Linked DNA regions of Drosophila melanogaster. The protein of the gene in region 3 interacts with the protein of the main gene of each other region in a pairwise test. Each region holds a gene or a part of one and is shown on either strand. Other genes may lie near its edges.

Region 1 (9,047 bases), 2.9 Mb from region 3:
AAGAATGCGGGAAAAAAGCCCATCCGAACCCAACCCATCCCAACCCGGTATCTGTATCTGCATCTGTGCATCTTTATCTGTGCGTATTTATTTTGGTTTTACGGCATGTATGTAATTACCCGGGAACCGAGTAAAGCAGGCAGAAAAGACAGAGAAATGGAGTGTGTTTCGTATTCTTTGGCCGGTCTCTTCTCCGTCGCGCGTCTTATCATTATTTCCGAGTGTGTATTGTGCGCTTTCTGATTGCTCTGCCCCCTTTTAACCTTCGTATTTAAGAAATTTCTTAGCCCATTACGATTTCACTCAATACGGCGTATGATTTTTGTAGGCCTTCCAACAAAAAATTACATGTTTCACTTTCTCTGGCGCCCGAATAGTCCCCCCCTTCGAAAACAGAAAAATAACAAGAACCGCGTCGAAGAACCAAAAGATAAATGCTTAGACATCGTCTGCCCCTCTCTATTTTGTTTCGAAATATCTTTTCGGGGTTTCTGTTTTTGTTTTCCCCACATCAATCAGAGAATGCTTCGTTCTTTCCATTTCTCTTGTGGGCAAGCATTGAAAAGGGAAATTTCTTTAGCCCAATTAAATGAAAAGAAACCAAATCAGGTTATTCCATGAATTTTGAGCTTATTTCTGGTTCTGCATGTTTGTTTGGCACTGATCGTTCTCTTTGAAATTTTATTTCGCCACAAGACTTAAATGCATTATACAAAAATTGTTTTTGGGAAATACACATTTTCAAATAAACAAATTCTATATATATGCAAGTTGAAGTAATTGTTAATTGGGGTTCTAAGTAATATTCACTTAAGCAAAGCTCTTATACTCTTATACTCTATTATTGACAAACCTAAATTGCCATCCAACTCTAAGTTCTTAAGTTGTCACAAAAAGTTGTCATTTTATGAACATATACAATTTATTTATTAAAGCTGTACTTACGCTTATCGCTCCTGTTTCGCTTTCTGGTTTTGTTGAATTTTTTCATTCAGAATTTGCTACGCAATTTACGCGTTTAATTTGTTGCTGCCTCTGTTCGCCGCACTCGTTTTTCTGTTATTTCACACACAATTTTTTTTATTTAATTGCACACATAATGAACAATATTAAATGCTATATTCGTATGTTTGTGCGTTGAAGACACGCACTCAGCCAATTGAAAATTGTATTTGCGGTTGGGTTTCAATACAACAAATTTATCAAGCACTCACTGAAAATGGAATTGGCACTTTAATTTTTTGTTAAAATGGTCTGAGGATCTTAACAATGATGTATTTATTGATTAAGTGTGGTTTTAATGAACTTCAAAAACGAGATTATTTAATATGTTATTAGTTTTATTCGTTTTCGTACAAGTTTCTTTAGGTTTTTGATCAGACAAATTTGTCAACCAGTTTTTTTTTTTTTAATATTTTTATAGTGTGCGAAAATATTTGTATTGAGCGTTTAGAAATTTAATAATTTTTTTCTGTGACTTGCACGACGAAAATGTGTGGATTCAACTGGGTTCTTGGACACAGGTATCTTTCAGGGAATATTGGAGGTATTGGGAACCGAAAACGAAACCGATTCGGAGCGGAGCGGAACCGAAAAGTCGAGCGACGCGTGCACTTACAGCGACGTCTGAGCAGCAAAAACTCGAGAATAACCAAAGTGCGGCTCAATTTATACGAGGAGTCGAAAAACACAGACCAGAAGATACATTTACAGATGCAGATACAGATACGCGTTCTCTTTGTGTTAGTGTATCTCAAAGATACTTCTAACCGTCACTCTCTTACGCTCTCTCTTCGCTGTGGGGGTGGTCTGTCTCCGCTGTTATCGTTATTGCCGCTCTCTCTGCGCGCTCTGTGTGTTTTGGTTATAAAAGTGTAGTAGATTTTTGGCATTTATCTGTTTTTGTTTTATTTGCATATGTTCAATATGCACGACCCACATTGTTGTTGGTGTTGTTGTTGTTGTCTGATCGCGGCGTATAGAAATAATACGTATACACATGTGTATATATACACCGAATGTACATATTATCTCTCTCGCCCCCCACTCGCACTCACACACACACACTCTCACGCACCGCACACATACAGTTGCACCGCCTGAGTTCCGCTGCCCGTCGGCACAGTCCGCACACGGTAACAATTCGAATACGAATACGCAAAACGGTCTGGCGAACTGAAAACAGCCAAAACTTTTCGCCTGCGCCGACGTCGACGTCGGCAGCGCAGCTGTTTGGAGCTGTTGGGGCTCTGTTAGGCCCCCACGCTGTTAGGGCTCTGTTAGTTCGGCTGCTCTCTCTGTTTGTTATCAGTGGCGTGCGCTCTTTTATCAAATTGGAAAGGGGATTTTGGAGATCAGACAGATCGACCTGGGTTAAACTTTCAGCATACCGGAATATTAGAATACATTACGTTTATAAGGGAATAATTGAAGTGGTTTTGATAGAAGTACCAATTCTTTCATAGAAAGACCTTTATTTTGATTGAAATTCGACAAGTTTGACTTTCTCTTAGCTTGGCTTAGTGTTTTTTAACTTACGAATCACATGTAGTACACAATATTTATTGTTGCATATGTACAATAAAATACATTTTCTGCAAATGACTCAACCAAGATTTTTCGTCTGGGTGGGGTGGGTAATATAAAAAAGTGAAGAGAAGTGATGGATATTCTAAGTCTATGATTCGATTGATTAATTTCTTATTATGAGCTATACATTATTTTCACTAAGGCATGAGGAACAGCTTAAAGCCTGAAAGTTTTGCATTTCAAAGAAAAGTGTTTATGATGAGGAATTTTGGTGGTTTAATGTTCGTTACATTAATGCTCGTTACATTTTAGTTAGTTCCAGCGAAGTACTAAAAAGGAATACTTTTTGCAAAACGTGCTAAATAGTTTCTATAAGTTGCTTTGTGTGTTTACCAAGTGATTTTTGCGATTAAGGGTTATCTCTTAGGTTATGCATCTGCTGTCTGTCGGTGCAACTGACTTTACAATATAGTCTACAGTCTTGGAGGCTAATGGAATTCAGTTTGCGAAATTCCTCGAGTAACTCTCTGGTCGCCTATTAATATTCATATGTGCAAAGTACGTATCAATTGCATATTCGGCGCAAGGTCGTCTGCCAAGCGGCCAGATAGATAGGCAAACTGTCAGATACGCGTACTCATGCAAAGTCTGTGCGCAATAATCAAGCAAATTGAGTGCAACGCAGGCGATGGCGCAGCCGTATCTATTGGCTACTCTTTTGGCAAACTCCCATCGATATCGGCTCGATTCGCAGCTAGACGGCTAATTACGTGACATGTTAGACGCGAAAACAAGTTAAACACGCTCGTTCGATTTGTGTAATTAATTGCAGGCCGAGACGAGCGAGAGCTCAAAAACAAATTCACCTCGAAATGTGCATTGAACTTTTGCGGTTGCTTTTCTCGCCGCCGCCGGATGAATGTTGTTTTCCCTTTTCGGTGGCTCGCTTTTTTTGTAACCAATTCTAGTTGCAATCCGCTGCTGATAACCCGCAGATGAACCCATGGGTGTTGGAGCTTCCACATTGAAGGGGGTTACGCATTCTGAGTGGGCTTGTTGGTGGGTGGGATGGGGCACGAGCAGCTGATGCAGCTGATGTGTGTGTGTCAATGTTTCAGCTTGTAAACAAACGGCAAGCAAATAATGACAAAGTCGACAACGAAACTCCAAAAGTGTTCCTTATTGTTTGTTGTATTGACTACATCGCTGGGCTTATCGCTAACCGTTGTCAGATGGAATAAACATTCACATTTATATGTGTTGCACACAATGTGGTGTGGTATGTATGTGCAGTGGGGCTTCCTTATGACGAACTTGTATATTACATATATTCCTATAAATATTAGGTATTTTTATTGCTAATAAAATAAAAAGTAGAAAAAGCAAAAGCTTGCCATACAATTACTTTTACTAATTCTTATTTCTTTAAGCGATTTCCCTAATTGTTGTTAATTTTTAATGAGCTTGATATTTTACTACTGAAAGGGGAATTGGATGGGGAAATGTTCTTATTTAATCTTGACTGAAAGCAGGAAGCACGCTTATGAATTGGATGAGTTTGAAGCGAATAGAACGGATCAAAAGTCGGAGCTGGCCTATAATGTGTGTCAGTGGTGATAAGCAAATGCGGGGGGTGGGAAAACTATTGTATAAGATCTGAACGGAGTCACTCGATTCTACTCCTCGATCGAATACAGTTTGCATTCGTTATAAGGGTACTTGCCTCTGCCACTCCGAGTCGCCCCATTCCCCGAGTGTGCCTGCCATGACTAATTAAGTAACCAAAAAAGTATGAAAAGAAGGCAAAAAGCTGCTCAAATTCTCAGCATTAAAACGTGCCGACAACTTTGTAAAGGCTGCCAAAAATGCACATTTTTATTTATATTCGCACACAAGTTGTTGGGACATGCTTTTTTGGAGTTGGAATCGATGCGAAGGGTAACTTAGCTGACACGTGAGATTTGAATTTAGCATTTGGGATAAGTGGAAAATGAGAATTATCTTGAAAGTATCTTTATTCGGATACTATTTTAATATGCATTTGATTTTTGTCAGACTAACCATAAAGATTAATCTTTAAATATGAATTAATTAGTAGGTAATAGTAACTAACAGAATAAGTACAACAAGATTTCTTAAGCTATAAGAAATGTAAATATTTAAAGATAATACGTATGTTTAAAAGAGTTAGAAATAAATTCGAAATGAATGTGAATAGATGCTTTTTATAGTCTAGCCAATAATTTGTTAATTATTTCTTAAATAGTGAATTTGCAATTGAAAGTTCCAACCATCATATTAGAGTACCAGTGGGTGTGTTTTAAGGGGCTGAAAGTCGAATTCCTGCCACATGGAGTTTCGATTCCTGGACTCTTCTGCCCGTGTGAATCATGAGCATTAAGCATAAAACCGACATTTAGCTGATTGATCTTAATAAGAATTTTTGCGGCGGGGCGGGGCATTCGGGCGGAGGATGGCTAACGGATCCGTTGGGACGGGTCAATAACATTGTGCGGATGCCTCCTTCTGATTCTCCCCCATATGCATCCCCATATGGATCCACCGATGTTGAGTCCCTGAATTTGAGGGCGTTGCTGGGCTGCGCCTGCGCAACATAACAAACTTTGTGTTTGTTTCCCCCACTCGATGGCGTTTCTTTAATAACTCAGAGTCGAAGTCAGAAATTTTTGGAAGCGAGTAGGAGCTGGGGGGTTCCCTTGTCGGAAATCTGAGTTTGCTTTGCTGAGTTATGTTGCATAGGGTTCTTTCATCCGACTTGGTGCGCGTTTGTATCTCCCAGTATCTTGCGATATAGATATATCTGCGATTTGCACCCAGAACGGATGTCTGTGCTCGATTGTTAAATTGAAATTTGTCGCCAAAAACCAGCAGAATTTGCAAAGCAAATTTCCGACCGAAGTGTCTGGCCTGTTGCATATTTCATATGTTTTGATTCTTGTCTAAAGCTACAGCTTTTTGGCGATTCCTCTGCAGATTTATGCGCAAGTGCTTAATCGAGGCAAGGATACAATAGAGGGTGGAAAAACTGTGCCAAAAACAGCAGTTTTCATTTGAAATCTTCGATAAAATGCAAGACTTCAAGAATTTCAGATTCTACGGTTTTTATTTTTATTATATACTATCAAATGAGGGTATTTTCAAGTAATTATTTCTGATTTATGCGGGTAACCATATTTTTTCTAAGAATATTTAGTGCAAACAAACAAAAAGCCCATAAATCAATTCACTTTTATTTGACTTTTCGAGTGCATTTGATTGTTGCTCTCGGGGTGAGCAAATTGCGCAATATCTACGTCGATTTTTGGCCGTCTAGCAGGCAAATTAAATCAAGCTGCACAGCCGAACACGAAATATATAACCTGATTTCGATGTCTGCAATTCAAATTAAATGCAATTAAACCGAAATTGATAGAAACAAAATCGAACGAATCCAGCAAGCTCTGCGTCTGCTTCTCCATTTTTTTTCCACGATGGCACTTGACAGCTCCTCCTTCTTTTCTGTTCTGATTGCCTTTCCTTCGTCCTTTAGACATCTCAAATTTCGTCTAGCCGAAGTCTACGCTTCTAAGGGGCTTATAAAAAAAAGTATATATAAAAAAGAACGAGACAGAAAAAGGCCCTGGACTTCTGGTTTGGGTTTGGGGTTCGCCTGTCTGCTCCCTGTCTGCTGCGTGGTTCCTTTGTGCTTGGCTTAGATGCTAGTCGGGTTTGGACCTTTTTTTTATGTTGTTTGGGTTAGTCTGCCGAAATTCTGGGTCTTTGTTTTGATTTCGCATTTTGATATCATCTTTCGGCATGTGCAAAGGGGTCGGAGGGGTGTGAGGGAATGTCGCTCTCAAAGCCGAATTTTGTATATATTATATGCGGGATTTATAGAGCTGGCAGTTAGTAGCGAGTCTGGTTGATGCAAGCCAAATTAAATAAATAATTAAATTATACATTTACAAGTATGGAGTTTCCTTGCCTATTCATAATTATTATTTATATTTAATACATTATTAATCTTTTACTGTTTTTATTATCCCTGCTGATTCACTACACAAGAATGCTGTGCTATTTTTGTAAAATAATATTATACATAGTTGTATAAAATTTATTTATATGTTTAAGGTTCCACATAATTTTTCGTACTACAAAAAACCCAATTAAGTTCTTGTTTTGTTTGGTATAGTAGACATACAATGGCTAAATTAAAATTAAAAATTAAAATTAATTAAAATCAACATTTTCAAAGGCCTTGTTATCTGAAGTACCACAATTACATTGTACCCTTTTATAGCCTTTTAACTATTGTCATTAACTATATCAGTGATAACAATTTTATGTATTTGTATTAATCTCTCATTTCAACTACTATCTATCGTTACTAACAGTTTTCTGCCAAAACGATTTTAACTTTTAATTTGATTTGACTTTAATTATTAGGCAAAGTATCATTGGAATCTCTTGGATGAACATCATTATGGTATTTAAAGCTCTTGATTTATCAGATTTCATTTCTTTGTATTAGAAACGTAATCAATGTGAGTTATTTTTATCATTTTTATTTATTAAAAATTTTAAAATTATTATTATTAAAATATATGTATATATTTGATCCGCAGATGTTTTCGCTCATCTCTGGCGAAAAATTACTCTTCCTCAATCTTTTGGCTGCCGAAAAAGTAGCCAGACGAATGTCCACATGTGCCGGGTATGTTGTATATAGTATCTGATGTCTGGACTTTTATTGTATGGCTGACCTTGAATTTATGGAAATTGCATAAGTGGGAAGAAGTTTGTCATATTAAGAAATATACTGGAAGCATAGAAAGCCGAAGGCAGTGATGGTGACATAAACGACCAGACCTTGGCATTGTGTTGAAGGACTGTGAATCGAATTATTCGAGGAAGTTGCTTGAATTATGGCTCAAGGGGGTACTTTGAATTTATGAGTATTCAGGATATTAAGAATGTCTTTTTTTTCGCCGGCCAGCACCATCCATCCATCTTCCACACCCCGAAAACCAAACGAAATCCGCTTCCTGCTGCCAAATAATTTACAACTTGCGAATGCGATGCACAGGCTATGGGAAGAAAACAAATAATGATCAGTCGCACATAATGCATGCATATATCCATGGGCATATCGATAACCCTTATCAAGTGTGCGGCATCGCGGCCAAAAATATACAAATTATGCTTACCAAAAGGCAGAGAAAACATAAATCAATGGTTTTGGAATACTCTAACCAAGACAGCAATGTATGAAACTTCAAACATTTTTCCTTATTTCCAAATTTACTTAAGAGATATTAAGATAAGTATACAAGAAGTGCAAATTTGTTGTACCTACTTAAATATTCATATGCATACATGTATGTACATACATATATGGTTATTTGCGTGTGGTTGGTCGCCTCAAGTGATGGGCGTGGCACTTTCAACTCTGGTTCAACCCATACAATCATGAAAACTCTGACCAGATCTTGCCAAAAATGAGCCCACCTTGAACCTGAGTTTATCAAATTGCAGTCATTTTGCTTGTGGTTTTTATAGTACTTTCAAATAACTGAGATTAGTTGGTCAGTATCGTTACAAAAAAAAGGGTAAAAGTGATCGACTTTTTCACTTTCCGCCAATTTGAGGATATTTGCAGAGATTTGAGTGTTGCATGATTCATAATCGAACATTTATATCATAAAAAAGTAAACAGTTCAGTTGCTTATTTATTACGCAGAATTGCCTTAAGAGTTCAATTAACCATTAAATATTTTTAGAGGTGAAACAACGTTTGCCCTCACTTAATCGACAAAATTTGAACTAATTCGAATAAAATTAAGAGTCAGAACGAATTCACGAGTGGCTAAATTATTGTTTAAAATGACCAAGGGCGTGAGGATTTGCAACGATGGATTGCCTGGTTTGCCGAATGAAAGGCCATATTCCCGAAGAACTTTAGATACGCGGCAAAAGACTCAGAAGATGTCCTCCAGGCCATCTAGGAAACCATTGCAGTCTCTACAAACTGTCGGTCGGAATACGAGTTCCAGCCTGAAGCGCATAGGAAGTCCGATCTCCGAGGAAGAATTTGGTGTCCTGGTGCAGCAGGATTGTAAGGCAGAGCAGCATCACACCGATCGCCAAAACCTGGCGGACATAATCCTTATGCAGGCCCGTCGCATCGAGAAGCAGCAGCGGGAGATGAAAAGAATAAAGGCGCACTATGAGCGCCAGGTGTCCACCATCAAGAACAATGCCATCATGCTGGAGTCGCATCTGCAAAAGGTGCTGGCCAGTGTCGAAAGGGATCGGGCCAAGCGGATTGGCCACCACTGCCAGGACATGCTCGGTGCCGTGGAGAAGCTGCAAAGGAGCGACATCCAAGTGAAGCCGCAATCTTCGGCCAACCAATTGCTGATCCAGTATCTTCACTCCAAGAAAATTTCGCATTCGACCAAGAAGTCCAATGAAAACACAAGTAGGTACAGGAATATGTTGTGAATCGTATTCTTGTG
Region 2 (6,049 bases), on a different chromosome or scaffold from region 3:
TCGTGTTCTAGTTATTACTCGTAGAGTAAAATGGTATACTACTACAAGAGTGTGTAACAAGTAGAAATAAGCGTTTCCGACCATATAAAGTATACATTATTGATCAGAATGATTATAAGGCCATATTGCTTTAATTGATAAACCCGAATTGTAGTTTTGAAGCAAGGATGTTCACCGACTTCCTTCGTACCTGTCCAAAATTTGTGTGTAACCTTATAAACCTAATTTTGTCTTGGACGCTATTATTCAAGCGATTTACGCTTTACGCCTTCTTTCAGGACAATTATTGAATCTTATCCAATTTCAAATATTAAAACATTTCAGTGTTGATTTATAATTAATTTTGATGAAACTAAAGAGACAATACTAGGTTTGTTGTCAATTGTTCCTCCGGGAAACTTATTAATTATTTGTTTACCTTATCGGAAAGGCTTTATATTAAGTAAATGCATGCAATAATGTTTCAGAAATTCGTAAGTACATGAATAAATCGTGTCTTTGAATGGACGTATTTTATTATTTGAAATTAATCTGTCCAAATTGCATAACTATTTGACTAAAAATTAATATAATAATATTTTGTAAATCATCTCATCATTTAAAATGCTACCGCTAATGGTCCAGCTAGAATTAAATTTGTAAACTGTTGCCTTGAATTCAATAGCCTTACTTATTTCCCAATTTTTTTATTCTGCCCATTTTCTAAATAAAATTAATCTTGAGATCAATCTTTGAACATATTCGAGATGCGCCGTTCCACTTTGTAATAATGGTAAATATTTTTTCCACATTTTATTCCCGTTCTCAGAGGAGGTCGCTTGGCGACAACTGTGATTCTCCCTCCGCCAGATAGATGTGCATGGCCTTGAAAAGCAGCGCTATTCCCAGTTGCTTTTTCTGTTTCATGGTCCAAGACTGAGCCGGCCCATAGTAGTCGCCGCGCTTTATATTGGTAAGGTGATTCAAGCCCAGAGCGTCTATAATGGAAGCTTCGCGTGTGTATGCATCAATTGGCAAGATGTTGTGAAAGACATGAAGACATACGACTCCACTGCCATGTTGCCAAATGTCCAGGATGCGCTCCAGCTTACGGCTTCCCATCTTTCCATCTCCCGGTGGAGGGGAGCGGAAAACATCTGGCTGTAGGGTGCGGAATCCGCCGCCGCGTTCCCTATTTGTCTTATCTTTTTCGCGCTTCTGGTGAAGGCGTGTGTGCTGCCGCATGGCATCGTAAAGGTGAGCGTACGGTCGCGAACATTTACCCTTGCCTATGTAAAAAATGGAGTCCAGAAAACGCTGCCAAACCCCGAACTTTTCGAGAAAAGCGCTCTCCCCAGGCAGATTCCGAGAAATGCGTGGATCAATCAACATGTAGATGAAGCTCTGTTTAAGGTGCCCCTCTCGCATGTTCTTTTTTGTCACCCCACACTGTGCGAAATGCGCTGCAGAGGTTGCTTCATGCGGCAAGTAATCATTGATCCTCGCAAAGTCCTCTGGCGACCGCAGCGTGCGATGAAGCTCTACCGAGTATCGGATCTGCGCATCCTGGGCGTGTTTTTGGGCGGCCAGCAGCGCCTCCGTATTGCGCTTGTATTTGATTAGCTGCTTGATGTACAGCCGCTTAGTTGTTTTGGTAATGGGACCCACCGGAGCCCCTAGCTGTGTCAACTCCCGGCGCAGGGCGTCCGTTTCGTAGTCAAGTGGCAGGGTATAATTAGTGCTCACGGAGCTTTCCAAATCGTGCTTCCTCTCTTTGGGAGTTTGCTCGACTGGCTCCCGCCTGTCCCTGTTTTGTAGGTATCTCGCTTCGTAGAAAACTAACCCATTCTCGTCGTCGGTGTGAACGTAGGCCTCCTTGATTTGCAGAAAGTACTCATCCTGGCGTGCTGAGCTCTCCGCCACGTCCACCTCGTCGCCCTGAGCTGTAAAGAAACTGTGCTCCGGTTCCGGCTCCACGACGACAGCCTGAGAGACTTGCTCCACTAGCATCTCGAACACCTGACGACCCGAGTTGGGTGCATCCTCTGTCAGATTCTTCGAATTGTCCTCGTCTCTGAGCTTTTTCTGCAGGTGCTCCTTATAGTTGAAGTCCTCCTGACTAATAGCATCATCCACCATCGCTTCCACATGCTCATCGTACTGATGGAACAGGGACTGGCGGGCGCGCGAGCGTTCCACCTTCTCACGCCAGCTTTCAATAAGAGTTCGCCGCTTTGGCTGACAAGGATCTTCCGGCTGGTTCTGCCGTTGGCTCTGGATGAGTTGGGTAAGGTGAGCTTCAGTGAGGGCAAACAGGTTCACAGACTCCTCATCGGGCAGGGGTGGAATGTCGGCGCACTCCACCTCCGTTGGCTCCGGAAACTTCGGCTGCGGTCGATGCCGCCTGTGAGTGATATTAATATAGTACGGGGAAGTTACATCGTGATTGTACCTAGGCTGATTGGGGGTTAGAGCGTCAACCACCTGGACTCGCTGTTGCTGCTTTTTCTGGATCTGCCTCTCGCGGAAGATGTGATCCCGGAGCAGCTGCAGCACCTCAAAGTGGCACTCTTCAATGGCGTAGTGAACTGGCAGCTTATTATCCTCATCAGCCAGGTCCGCGCAAGCTCCGCGCTCCAGCAGCATCCTAACCAGTTCCGTCCGCCCATAAATGCTAGCGATGTGCAGCGCCGTGGTCTGGCCGTCGCACAAGGCATTCACGTCGAGGTCGGGGCACTCGAGAAACCGCTCCAGGATTCGCTGGGCCAGTCCCCCGTTTCGCATGCCGCACACGTAGTGCAAGGGAGCCAGTCCTCGATCGCAGGGCACGATGCCAGCATTTATGCTGTTCCTCTCCAGCATCGACATTATATCAGCCTCGTTCTCGTCCTCCAGGGCGTCCAGGAGGGTCAGAGCCAGAAAGTTGGCGCGCTGCTCCATCGGCGTGCTCCCTGTATTGATTTTTACCCATGCACTCTCTCGCTCCTATTTCAAACTGCAATCAATTATCGCTTAATTCTCGCCTTTTCAATGTCAGCGGTGCCGCATTTCCAAGTGTGGCCAAACTCGCAGACCTGGCGAGGCTGCCAGATGTTCGCAGTCCTAGTTGGACATTGGTGGTGGCCCGTATTTTGAGCGCCACATTTCAAACCTGTTTTTTGTCTTCGCAAGCTGAGCTCTGCCAATTATTGCGATTGATTTTTGGCACATAGTTGGCTTGGAGCGCACGCTCCACGCGATAAGCTTACCACAGTAATGTGATCAGTGAGCGCAACACGTGTTGTTGCTATTTCTGACTATTTGTTCTCTTGGATCCCAAACTAGTTCCCGCCAAAGGCGTAACGACGCTAAAATGGGCCCAAGGTTACCCCTTGTTATGCGATAGCGCATTGAGGTCTCTTGCTTGTTGTTACTCTCTCAGTTGTTTTTGTTTTCGCGTTGTTAGTAAACAAACGCAGTGTTTAAGTAAAATAAACGCACACGTTGTCATTCTCTTACATGGGGCATCGAAAATAAATTTACTGATCAGACAAAAGTGCACTTACGGTCGTTTGCATTAAAATTAAAGCTTATGAGCAATTGCGCTGGCTTATCAAATAAATAACAACAAACTCAAGAATCTTGATGACACACACAAAAACAAACCTTATCCGACCGCAAGTCTTAAGTATAAGTCTGAAGTCTTAAACAATATAACTTTAAATGCCTGATCTTAAGATTTTATTAGTTGATGTAGCAGTCCTATGACGAAGGCTTAATTATTTCCTTTGATCAAAATTCGCATATAATATATTAAATCTGTGCGTACAATCTAAATTCCTAGTCAGCTAACAGCAATTTGATAGTAATTACATAACAAAATAAAAAATTTTGGAATAATGCTGTTTACATTTTAAATTTGTACATTGCTGATAGACTTGAGACTTGAGTTTTTTTTTTTAAAACTACAGAGTATCGTAGGAAAACCCCCAAAAGATAATAGCCAATTGTTTGACTTGCGTTTTCGCGTACATTCACCCGTGCTTGATTTGTTACTGATTGGAAATCTCTCTTTTGCTTTGTTTGAGCTATGACAAATTTTTCAGATTATATTCTTTTCGATTCGATTTTCACCACAAATAGTCATATTGATGTTTGCGTTTCTTTCTAAGGCTTGCTCGCACTTCTTCCCTCACCCTGTTCTTGGATGACATCAACGTACCGTGCAATAGCGAAACTGGTTAATTAAGCTCGAGATTAAGGCTGCGTTGATAGCTACAGTGCGCTCCCGCCAGATTGACCCCCTTTGTTTCTTGTCATTTTATTTCATCCTTATCGCTCCGCACTTTCATTTGTTCCTTAGTCATCAGCTGTTGCGCATAAACAATTGATTGTGCGCCAATTGTGCGAGTGTTGGTGTCCCGCACAGTGGCCATCAGAATGGAAATACTGCTAAATCGGTCGCTTGTTGGCCACTGACAGTGTACCGAGTTCGGTTCCCAGCCCCCTCCCGAAACGGGAAAGGCATTCCAAAATGTTAGATGAATGCATGCTATTGTAATTGGAACTGCTTGTTTGCATGTTCTAATAAACTACACACACACACGACACGAAAAATGACGCCAATTCACGCTTACCCACAGACACACTAACGATCCCCGTCCACCTTCCCCACAGCAGCTGTTTTCGCCTTATTTACCCGTCTCATTTGTCGATTTTTGTGTCTCAATTGTTTGCCACTTTTCGCTTTGGTGACCTTCCGGGATTTAAGGATTTAAGCACAGATGTCGCTACTTACGTAAAGTCCTGGTTGAAGTTCATTTGATATGTGGTCATTGCTGCTGAAGATTTGTGCTTTGGTGATTGTATTTTTTTTATATAGTTACACTTTCACTGGTCTTTAGATGCTTTTTTTCAGCGATATTCAGTTGCAGAGTCCCGTCGTTTGAGTACACAAGATATTGATCGACGATGGCAGATGAGCAAAGCGAAATGATTTCACTTGATATTGAAAACTAAATTCGACTGTTTTGCGTCGTCTTTGTTGTTTTGCTGCGACTGTTTTTCTCGTTCTATCTATCAACAAATTCCCCCTACACACAACACACACACACATAAATCATCATCATTGGAACTGGGTTCGGGAACTGAACCAGCCGTGTTCACCAAATGCCATATATACCGTTAAATCATTTGTGTAACGGAAAATGTAAAATTGTTATTAAAAATTGAAATGGACAATATATATACATGTATCCGCATATATTTGCATTGGAAAAATCATAAAATTACCTCATATTTCACACAATTACAGTGCATTTAGTGTGTATATGTCAGTTTCATTTCTTTTTATATAAACATTAAAATAGTTTTTTCCAATAAGTATCTACAATTATCTAAGTGTTGTGTCAAATTTTCTATCAAATCGGAACAAAACAGTGGACGTGTTAAGCTTCTTATAAGGTTCTTCTGTCTTAGCAAAATTGTATTTCCCATAATGTATTTCCCTACTTCAACTTGATCTACACTAAAACTTTATACCTTTTGTTCCTAATTTATATTATAACCTATATTGTTCGTCGATTTAATAAATTTTGCATAGCCTATTTAATAGTAAAACAATTTTTAGATTTGTAACATTTAATACACATTTCATAGTCTAGCGCTAACTTAAAAATAAAACTGTCTTAACGCGAATCTGAGTAAGTTATAAATGTATTCGTAGTTTGTAAAAATCGTTTTCATGCATACGCCAAGTATACTAGAAACTAGTTCCCCAGTGCATCGACTGCCAACTCGCTTCAATTACATGGGTGCAATCTGCAGTATTGTCGAAAAGTGACTGCGCGGCCACACTGAAACTCACAACAGAAAATAAAGCATTTTCGCTTGCTTTAAAATAGGATTTTATCCCGTACAAGAGCTGTCTCGCGGCAAGAAATATGCACCCTCGAAGTCTCGCAGTGCCGTGCGACCAGAGAACTTGATCCTTGGACAAATGACTCGTGTTTGCAGTGCCCGTTTTGAGGTTTTGCCAGAGTAGTATACAACACCCGAAAATTTTCGCTGGTTCTCGGGGACGCATGAAAAA
Region 3 (9,584 bases):
ATGACGCAGCCGATGACGCACTGAGTTGTTTTTTTTTTTTTTTTTTGCTTGGAAGAGAAATCTGGATTTCATGCCAGCTTGGCAACAACAAAGTAGCTCGCACAATGGCAAAAGCACGCTGAAATTTTAGAGCAGAAGAATCCGCGAGTGTCGGAAAGGTCGGCTTCATCCGAATGTTCGAATTTAAATTTAAAATGTAACGTACTCTTGGTGGGGCTTGGGGCACAGTGGTTCAAAGGAATGGGTTACGGTTACATGTGAAATTATTTCACAAGGCGATTATAATCAATACTGTTCAACATCATAGTGCGTCATTTCAAATTTCAATGAAATATGTTTGTATAATCTTCCCACTGCAAACTGCAGTTAAAACTTAATCATCATTGCGGACCATGGTGAAACTCAAAAGCGATTTACTGGAATAAAGGTTGTTTGTGTTCACGTATATTTACGTGATTATTGCTAAAGAATATGTATATTTCCCGTACATACACTTTTCATATCAAAATGATCAGGCCTATTTAATCGTATAAGTGAGTGCAGTGACCAGAGTGAAACATTAATTGCTTGCAAATAAGTATGTCGTATGCAAATAAAATATTTTTCAAATTCAATTTGATGTCGCCACCCCTATAATTTCCCCCCTTTTCGGTTGCATTGGTGTCACGGTACCAGTATAATTCTCGTTTCAATCTTCCTTTCGAGAAACAGATGCAAGACTTTGGAAAAGGGACGGGCGAAAAGAGAGGTTTGTTGGTGTTATTTGTTCTGTTCGCGATTTTCGCATTCGTATTTATCGGCTACTTCGTGGGAAGAAGAAGCAAAGACGGACGTTGCGTTTCAAAAAGAGCGTTACAATATGAAGAATTCAATCGAAGAGATCGGTGAAAACCAATGGACGAAATACAAGCCTGCATAAACAGTTGCGGTGAAAATATTAGTATTCAAAATCCCAGTATCCCAGAATGAAAAAATTCAAAACTAAATGAGTTATATCTAACCTACAATTGTACCAATTCTATCAACGATTTTAAAAATACATTTTTCAGGTCTTTTAGTCCAACAATTCGGTCTTAAAAATTATATTTAAAGACCCTCATTTCCAATTACTAAAGATTCGATTGCGATAGTTCCTATTATTGTGACCGCGAATGTGCTCCTGTGTATCCTCAGACGGATGTCTTTAGTGGGAAATCACCTTGCGCCAGCTGCAACTGCAACTGCATCGCATGTACAGCCCTGCACCGATGCACTATATCTGCCATATAGTGCTTAGGGGTGGAATAGTGCAGCTGACATATGTATGTAGGAATCTACCTGCGACATAATGCCGCTCGGTGGTTCTTACCTGCTCCTTGAGGATCTCGGATAACTGCCTTCTGTTGCTGTCGTAATTCCTGCGTAGCCCAGTGATCCTCGTTTCGGACAGCTGCAAAAATCATGAAATCGTCTGCACCGCGAGGTAAACAGCAAGGTAAATCCACATACACACACACAAATGAGTAATGATCTCGCACAGGAAAAAATTCAATGATCGATTTGGATCCAAGAGATTGAAGCGTTATTTGAAGATTCGAGTTTGGGAGCATTTATTTAAATTCTAGGATTTACTAGAACTATGTTTGTACATCTGAAATGTCCATCTGTGGTCATATACTTAGGGATATAAGAGATCTTAATCTGGAGTATTAAGAAGACAAATTTCTTAATTTTAAATTTGTATGTATATTAGGATATTAAAATGTTTTATGTTTTATGTTTTTTTATAATAATAGTAGTTTGCAAAGCAACTACTCAAAAACTGCACATCATCATTGAATTTGGTTTAAAAATTTCGTAACTATGGGAAAACAAATAATTTCAACCAAACTTGTAAAATATTACCTTATCAGAGCAGGAGAAAACCTTAAGTATCCAAGCCAAGAAACCACAAAAGATATTTTCGAGTTATAGAGATGGTTATACGGGTGTTTCTGCCTTCGATATCCGTACCCGTACTCAATAAAACAAAATCGAAGTTCAAGCTGACTGTACTTTCATTAATTTGATCTTAAAACTGTGGATTTTATCAGTTTACTAACCCCCTCTAATTAACTTATCGCCACGATTTATTGGTGCGCAGATTACTACGTAAAATCGTAGAAGAAAAGTTTAAGGGTTGCTGTGGGTATAGTGTTCATACAGCTACGTATTTCGAATTCAGTTGGAATCGGAATTTCAGCGTTCAGCGCAATTTTTTCAAAAATAACGATGCTCTTGTTCTTTCTCTCTCTCCCAACCATTTGGATTTCAAAAAATAACGACGCTCTCTGGTCTCCCACTTCTCTTTCCATTCCGACCGCATTGAGCTAAATTCCTGCAACGGGTGTGAGCGAGGCAGAGAAGGATCGGTGCAGTGAGAGCGAGCAAGAGGGTGCGAAAGAGAGCCGTTGTATTTCGCCGTTCTCTTCGCTTCGTGCTTCTTCCGACCGCGTGGATGGTCACATTTGAAATTCAAACTGCGGAGAAGACGGTCGCGTTCGTTTCGTTTCGCGAGTTCAGTGAGCAGCGTCCGATTTGTTTTAAAATCGCCGCATTTCGTCAGTACCCGCATTGCAAATGGCCAAACTACCGAAGTAGTAGTAGCCCTGAGTTTAAACGAGAGTTTAAATCGAATTTAATCGGAGACTAAACGGCGCGTCGCTAAATGTCAAAACAATTAACAGCCAAGTACAGCCAGGCTAAAGCGGAGTAACAAAATTAGTAAGAAGAAGCATTAGCAGAGAATAAGACGAAGAAAACGTAGCGAGAGCAAGAACTGTGATAAAGTTAAGTGAAGTGGTAAACACAAGCAAGCATGGATAACAGTAGCGGTCAAAACAGCAGAACGGCTTCGTCAGCGTCCACAAGCAAAATAGTCAACTATTCGTCACCAGTCTCGCCAGGAGTCGCAGCCGCCACCTCCTCATCCTCATCATCCAGCAGCAGCGGCATGAGTAGCAGCCAGGAGGACACCGTACTGGGATTATTTACGCCCAAAAAGGAGTTCCCCAATGCCAAGATGCTGCAGACCATCAGGGAGAAGCTAATGACGCCCGGCGGAGCCTGTGACCTTCTGGCCCTGGGCATCGCAGCGGAACCCACAGACCAGCAGCCCGTCAAGCTCATCCAACAGCGTTATCTGATCAGCGCACAGCCTAGTCACATATCGGCCGCCGTGGCTGCCAAGACTCCCGCCTCGTATCGCCACTTGGTCGATCTAACCGCCTCCAATCTGCGCTGCGTGGACATCTTCACCGGGGAGCAGTTCCTCTGCCGTATTGTAAACGAACCGTTGCATAAGGTGCAACGAGCCTACTTTCAGCTGCAGCAGCACGACGAGGAGCTACGCCGGAGCACCATCTATGGCCATCCACTGATCCGACCCGTGCACGATATCATACCGCTTACCAAGGATCGCACCTACATCCTCATTGCGCCCGTGCCCCAGGAGAGGGACTCCACGGGTGGGGTGACCGGGGTGTACGAGAACCTGCACACCTACATCCGCCACGCGAAGCGACTGTGCGAGACGGAGGCGAGGGCCATATTCCACCAGATCTGTCAGACTGTTCAGGTGTGCCACCGCAACGGGATTATCCTCAGGGACCTCAAGCTCAAGCGGTTCTACTTCATCGACGAGGCCAGGTGAGTTGCGTGTCCAGGTGACACCTTCGAAAAACCCATATACACCAATATACGCCACATATGCCTGACTTATACCAACTCAATTGCATATGGCTGGCTAGTCGGTTTATTTTGCAATTCGATGGAAACTCGTTATGAGCGAGAGATCTTGTTTGTGGTCGTGTGTTGGTGGTGCCACAATTGTTGCTCTTGTTATTGGCCCATGTTGTTGTAGTTGCTGCTGCTGCTGCTGTTGTTGCTTTTGTTTTTGTTGCTGGCGCCGTCGTTGTGGGTAACATTGAACATTTAACAAGTGTTGCAATCGAATCACCAATAGGCCAACAACAACAATTATACTGACAAACCGAATGAACGCAAGGCGTACGTATGTACAGCACAGGGTATAATGGTAGTTTCAAACTAATTTTATAAGTAAAAATATATTCCTACTATGCGAAGCATTGCAAAAATGAATGGGAATAAGATCAAAAATGTTAAATAATTTCAAAGATAAGTTTTTGAAATACACCTATTATTAAACTATTAATTAACATGGTGTATTAGCTTTGTAGCTAAAGAATTATTATTTATGTAATATCATTGAATTGCCATTCAGTGAGCAAGCATATGCCTTATTTTGCAGACCCCGACTGTATCTCTGTGTACATACTCGTACACAAGGGCCCAATGTGCCACACTGATGGCCAAAATGTTGGCTCACTCGTTTTTTCATTACACATTTCGGAAGCTAGAAATTGCCACATTTCAAGAATTGTTCAACATAGCATTTGCAATATGGTTTTGGGGTGGGGATCTGTGGGCCACGTACTCGGCGTTCGCTTGATTTGTCGATTTCCCGTGTGTGAGTTTACAGTGGATGATGAAATATTGACCCCACCTTCATCGAAAATGTATTTTCGCATATGTTAATTAACACAACTGTATCGAAAACGCGCTGTCTCCCGTTCTTATTATCTTCGAAATTGTACTGACATCAGCATGGAACGACTTGAACATTTGGTCGATTTCGTATGACTCTGCAATTAGCGCAATATCTGCTGATTTTTTCGTCATTTCGTCGTTCTGTGCCAAGTGCAAAACGGCGGAAGGAAGAAACCAACCCATAGATCTCTATCTATACTATACTTCTCTCACCTTGGCGAGAAATAAACAACAAGTGTTCAATACGACTCAAATGCGCTGCGATTACTGGCGCTCACTTCCATTCCCATTTCCATTCGAATAATACATCGCTATATAGATAAGTGCTCGCTGGGTGTACATACATACTATATGGGCTATGGGCGTGGCCATATCCATATCTACATATGTCCAACGGGGCGGCCACACACACGCACAACCAAATAACGAGCCGAATTTTTAAGGTCACAGTGCGGTGAATGTCCCTGACTCTGATCTTCTGTATTTGAACGCATTTATGTACATGCATATATGCCAGTGCCTCCCATATACAAATGCGTATGCTTATGCATGTAAAAATCTCTGGTTCATACTTTTATTTTGTCTACTCTTTTGCCGTACGTAAATACTTCCAAGGTGTTTGAGCATTTATGCGGCGCCGGTTTTCCGTATTTCGTTTCGATTCCGATTTTATTTTAACCTCTGTCGCGGGTTAATGTGTGCCAAACGTATAGAGCGAGAGAGAGAGAGAGAGGGAAAGAAGAGATCCACAAGACGCTCTTCAAAGCTCGGTTATGTCGCGCATCGAGGTCAGCAGCTGTAACTATTCTCCTCATCACATCTCCACCTGCCTTCCGTGCACTCAAAAATATAAATATTGGTTCACATAAAACCTTGATCTTAAAAGTATAATTATATATGCTTGCCTTGATCTTAAATATAAGTTTATAATGTTTCTGTATCGAATGGGGTAACTAGACGATAGAGGACACAAAAATCAAATGAAACCCGAAAACAAATGTATAGAAACATGCTCTTAATTAAGAACCGTGTTCTTTGAATATATTATTTAAATGCGCTATCTCTTTTCCCTCTTATTGATTGCCCACCTGTTGCTATCAAGTTGAAGGTAATTTGTTTCTTTCAGTGTACACTGTGATTTGTGCCGAGGAGAGGCGCGTTTTCAAAGCTTGTTTTTGTTCAGGGTCAGCTCGAGGTTTTTTTGGCCTGCTTTGTGTTTGGCTCTTTGGATGTTTGGATACCAGACCGCGGCGACCGTGTGTTTGTATATCGCTCCGTTCGCTATCGGCGGAATACCCAATGTTGGTAGTGGTGCTCGGGTCCCAGCAGAAGCGCCGTTGCAGCAACAAGTTGCGATACGTCACTCCACCTCACCTTACTACTCACGCAGCTCACACAGCGGACTCTCTTTGGATCTATGCGCTGTGCTCGCTGGCGTTTTCGTTACTTTTTTGCTTTTTGCATTCGAATGTGGGCCAATGTCAATGGAGTGGAGTGGCCCAATGGAGGGGGAGTGGAGTGGAGTGCAGGGGCGGAGGCGGCGGCGGCGGCGGCACTCGCTCATGGGTGTCGGGGGTCGCAAGCTGCGCTTTCGTCACCAATCCAAGTCAACTCAGCTCAGCTCACAATGTGCTCTCTCGGCCAATTTGCCTTTTGACTTGTCAATACGCCAACGCCAAAGACAACTACAACTGAAACTGAAGCTCCGTGGCCGATCGATTCAAGTCTCTTCGATATTGCGCTAGCTAATGGCCCCACAAAATCGGGGGTTATGCAAGTCCCAGGGATTGCACATGATGTAGAGCTCGACGATGGGTCTGATGAACGGGTACAGTTGCGATCAGAATAGTGGCAGTGCCAACTCAAGTTGCAGTCATATCTACTCTTCTTTGGCAACAATAGTTCTCAACATATTAATAGAAACGGGTAAAAAAAAGACTGTTAGTTTTATTTCTAAGAAGCATAAACATATATTTTGTACCCTATTTTGGCGGATTATTTATTCGATTTTGTCATTTGCTAATTACAGAACGAAACTGCAGTATGAATCACTGGAAGGCTCAATGATCCTCGACGGCGAGGACGATACTCTGAGCGACAAGATCGGTTGCCCACTGTACACCGCTCCAGAACTGCTGTGCCCCCAGCAAACGTACAAGGGCAAACCGGCGGACATGTGGTCGCTGGGCGTGATCCTGTACACCATGTTGGTGGGTCAGTACCCGTTCTACGAGAAGGCCAACTGCAACCTCATCACCGTCATACGCCACGGGAATGTCCAGATACCCCTGACGCTGTCTAAGTCGGTGCGATGGCTGTTGCTTTCGCTGCTGCGGAAGGATTACACGGAACGAATGACCGCCAGCCACATCTTCCTTACCCCGTGGCTGCGAGAGCAGCGCCCCTTCCACATGTACCTGCCAGTCGACGTGGAGGTGGCCGAGGACTGGAGCGATGCGGAGGAGGACGAAGGCACTGCCGCCGATGCGATGGATGATGACGAGGAAGGACTCTGTCCCTTGGGTGACAAGCACGAGTACGAGGACATTGGCGTGGAGCCATTGGACTACACGCGCTCCACGCTCCAAATGGCTCAGAATGCCAATGGGCTGTCCACGGAACCCGAACCCGATACGGATGTGGACATGGGCTGATTGGAGCTCGTGGAGTCACCCACGGGTTGCATTCTGGGACACGCTGGCGCGTTGGCTGCATCCGGCTGAATGCCGACTGATTAGCCGCCGGGACTGGGCATATCGGATGATATGACACTGTGGACATCCTGGCCTTCCGGGTCGCGCCGACTCCGACTGCGTTCCACGTCGTCTTCCTGCAGGTGGTACTGCCAACAAAGACTTAAAGCTTAGACACACAAGAACTCACTGCCTTCCAATCGCGCTGCAGCCCCGATTCGATTCGTTCAAGAATCACGCCGCTCCGCAGCCTCCTCTCTGCAACCGATTCTTCCTAAAACCTACCTATGTACAATACATTTAACATTTTAATTTTTTTGCAAACTGTTGATCTTATCAAAGGACAGTCGCCCTGATTTGCTTTTGGGCTTTAAAACACATTAGTTTCCATGTTAAAAAATGCAACGAATGCAAATTGTTATTTATTATTTAATACTTCTGTATTACGCTTTGTGTACTCTTAAAATCTTGTAAGTGAAAATTGCAAAAAAGAACATAATACATTGAAATTTGATCTCACCAAGAATAATTCGAATTTGTTTCTTTAGGGCTCTGGGGTAAAAAACGCTGTTTTTATTTATTGACACAAGATTGTAAATATTTATAAATGTGTAATTAGTCAACCAGACTATGAGCTTAACATGAAGATTCTAGATTCTCAAGAAGCGGAAGGCTACAAAAGATGAAAACAATGAGTCAGGGGAAAATACGATTTTTTGGTTCTAGATGCGTCATATTGTGTACTAGTAAAATTCAACATTTGATTAAGATCAGATAATGTTTGGTCAAAAATATGAAAACAAAACTGTCCAATCTATTTTCTTCATGAAGGAGATTAATGAATAGTTCACGTCACAAAATCGAGAATTCTCTCGAGTGTCGAAAGTCAACAAATTAGTTATTGTTGTTGCTGAGATTCCCATTACCGAGCAGCAGATTCCCAACCTGATAATGCAACCCAGTGACTGGAAGTTATCAGGTGGGCGAACGTGACTTTGGCTACGGAAATATTTGCGACTTTGCTCCACAATAGCAGTAAACTAATATTGTGAATAGCTGCTGAATGCGGAGGTCCCACCACTGTCATCTGATGTGCCGACGTGACGGGGACTTTCGCATGTATACCACCTACATATACTCGTGTACGTAAGACCCCCGATTTTTGGCTCTGTGTGCGCCGTGCTCGAGCATTTTTACCTGTGGTCGAGCACTTTGTTCAGATTATGAAATTGCCGGAGAGAACGAGAACTGCGCAGAACGCGAAAACTGCTGACGACTACGCCACCTACAGATTGTGACTATCAATTTTTTTGGGCTCAGTGCCACGCATGAACTTTAACTAGAATCGCCTGATCGGTTTAGACCCGACTGGAAAATACCCATCGGGAACTGTATGTAACCGCACTGGAAATGTATTCAAATCTGATGCTTTTGTAGAGTATTACAATATGTTCTTGTCTGTCTTATTTTTGTTCAAATAAATTTATTGTCGATTATTGATACATATTGAACTAAAGTCTGAAGTCTGAAGTCCATATGTGGTCTTATAACTTAGGAATTTATATCTTTTACAATAAGTATCCTGATTTTATTTCACTTATTAATTTAAGAATACATTTTAGGATGGGTACTCAAAGCTTCGAGATCTTGAAAGGGTAAAGCCCATTGTCATGTGCAGTTTGATAAGATTTTAAAGGGGACTTATAGAACGGAATGAACGATCCAGAACTTTTCGCATTCCTTACATACCCAAAAGTCACAATTACTTTGTTTCTGGGGAATAACGAAGCTCTAATAGGGGTCACGCTACCCAAAAAAAAGTATGTTAAATGGAAAGTACAAAGGTGGACTAGCCTAGCCCTGTTACAAATTCACTTTTTAAGGTTCTAAAACCTTAAGTTAAGTACCTTGACAACCATAAAGAAGACCTGAACAGTGACAGCTACGCTACTTTCCCTGACCCAAAAATTAGTCGTTACTTGATTCTTTGTTATGGCTCTGGTTCAATTCTCAAGATTTTCCGTAAATTTCTTTGTTTGCCCTCGCACGCAGCTTATACTGTCTGTCATTAGAAGATAGTCCTATGTTTTCCTTCAAGTACCCAACAGATAATGCGAAATTCTTAGCCTGAAAAATCGTTTCATGGTCTTCTTCCTAAATCACTCCAGAAGTCATAAAACTTTATGCACCATTTTGCAGTATTTACAGAAAAGGCGGCAGATAAATGCCGAGAAAGATACGAGATACTTTCTAGGCAGATCAGACAGCTTGTGCGCTATTTCAAGTCAATCAAATGCTCAGTTA

What was found.
Region 1: the proteins of trbl (region 3) and CG6333 interact in a two-hybrid assay, tested with the Drosophila melanogaster proteins (one large-scale study listed by BioGRID).
Region 2: the proteins of trbl (region 3) and CG8679 interact in a two-hybrid assay, tested with the Drosophila melanogaster proteins (one large-scale study listed by BioGRID).

What each region holds. Positions count from the first base shown.
Region 1 is NT_037436.4:17,480,231-17,489,277, reverse strand, and holds the start of CG6333 (uncharacterized protein), read left to right. Parts: upstream 1-3,047; 5' UTR 3,048-3,087; intron 3,088-6,975; 5' UTR 6,976-7,073; intron 7,074-7,154; 5' UTR 7,155-8,412; coding exon 8,413-9,033; 3' UTR 9,034-9,047.
Region 2 is NT_033779.5:21,215,504-21,221,552, forward strand, and holds CG8679 (uncharacterized protein), read right to left. Parts: upstream 3,042-6,049; 5' UTR 2,920-3,041; coding exon 805-2,919; 3' UTR 501-804; downstream 1-500. Other genes in the region: Atg18b (Autophagy-related 18b), read right to left, coding at 4,757-4,794; CG8677 (uncharacterized protein), read left to right, coding at 6,049-6,049.
Region 3 is NT_037436.4:20,394,508-20,404,091, reverse strand, and holds trbl (tribbles), read left to right. Parts: upstream 1-2,482; 5' UTR 2,483-2,836; coding exon 2,837-3,666; intron 3,667-6,616; coding exon 6,617-7,241; 3' UTR 7,242-7,804; downstream 7,805-9,584. UniProt on the Drosophila melanogaster protein: Adapter protein that negatively regulates different signaling pathways to coordinate cell differentiation, proliferation, migration and growth.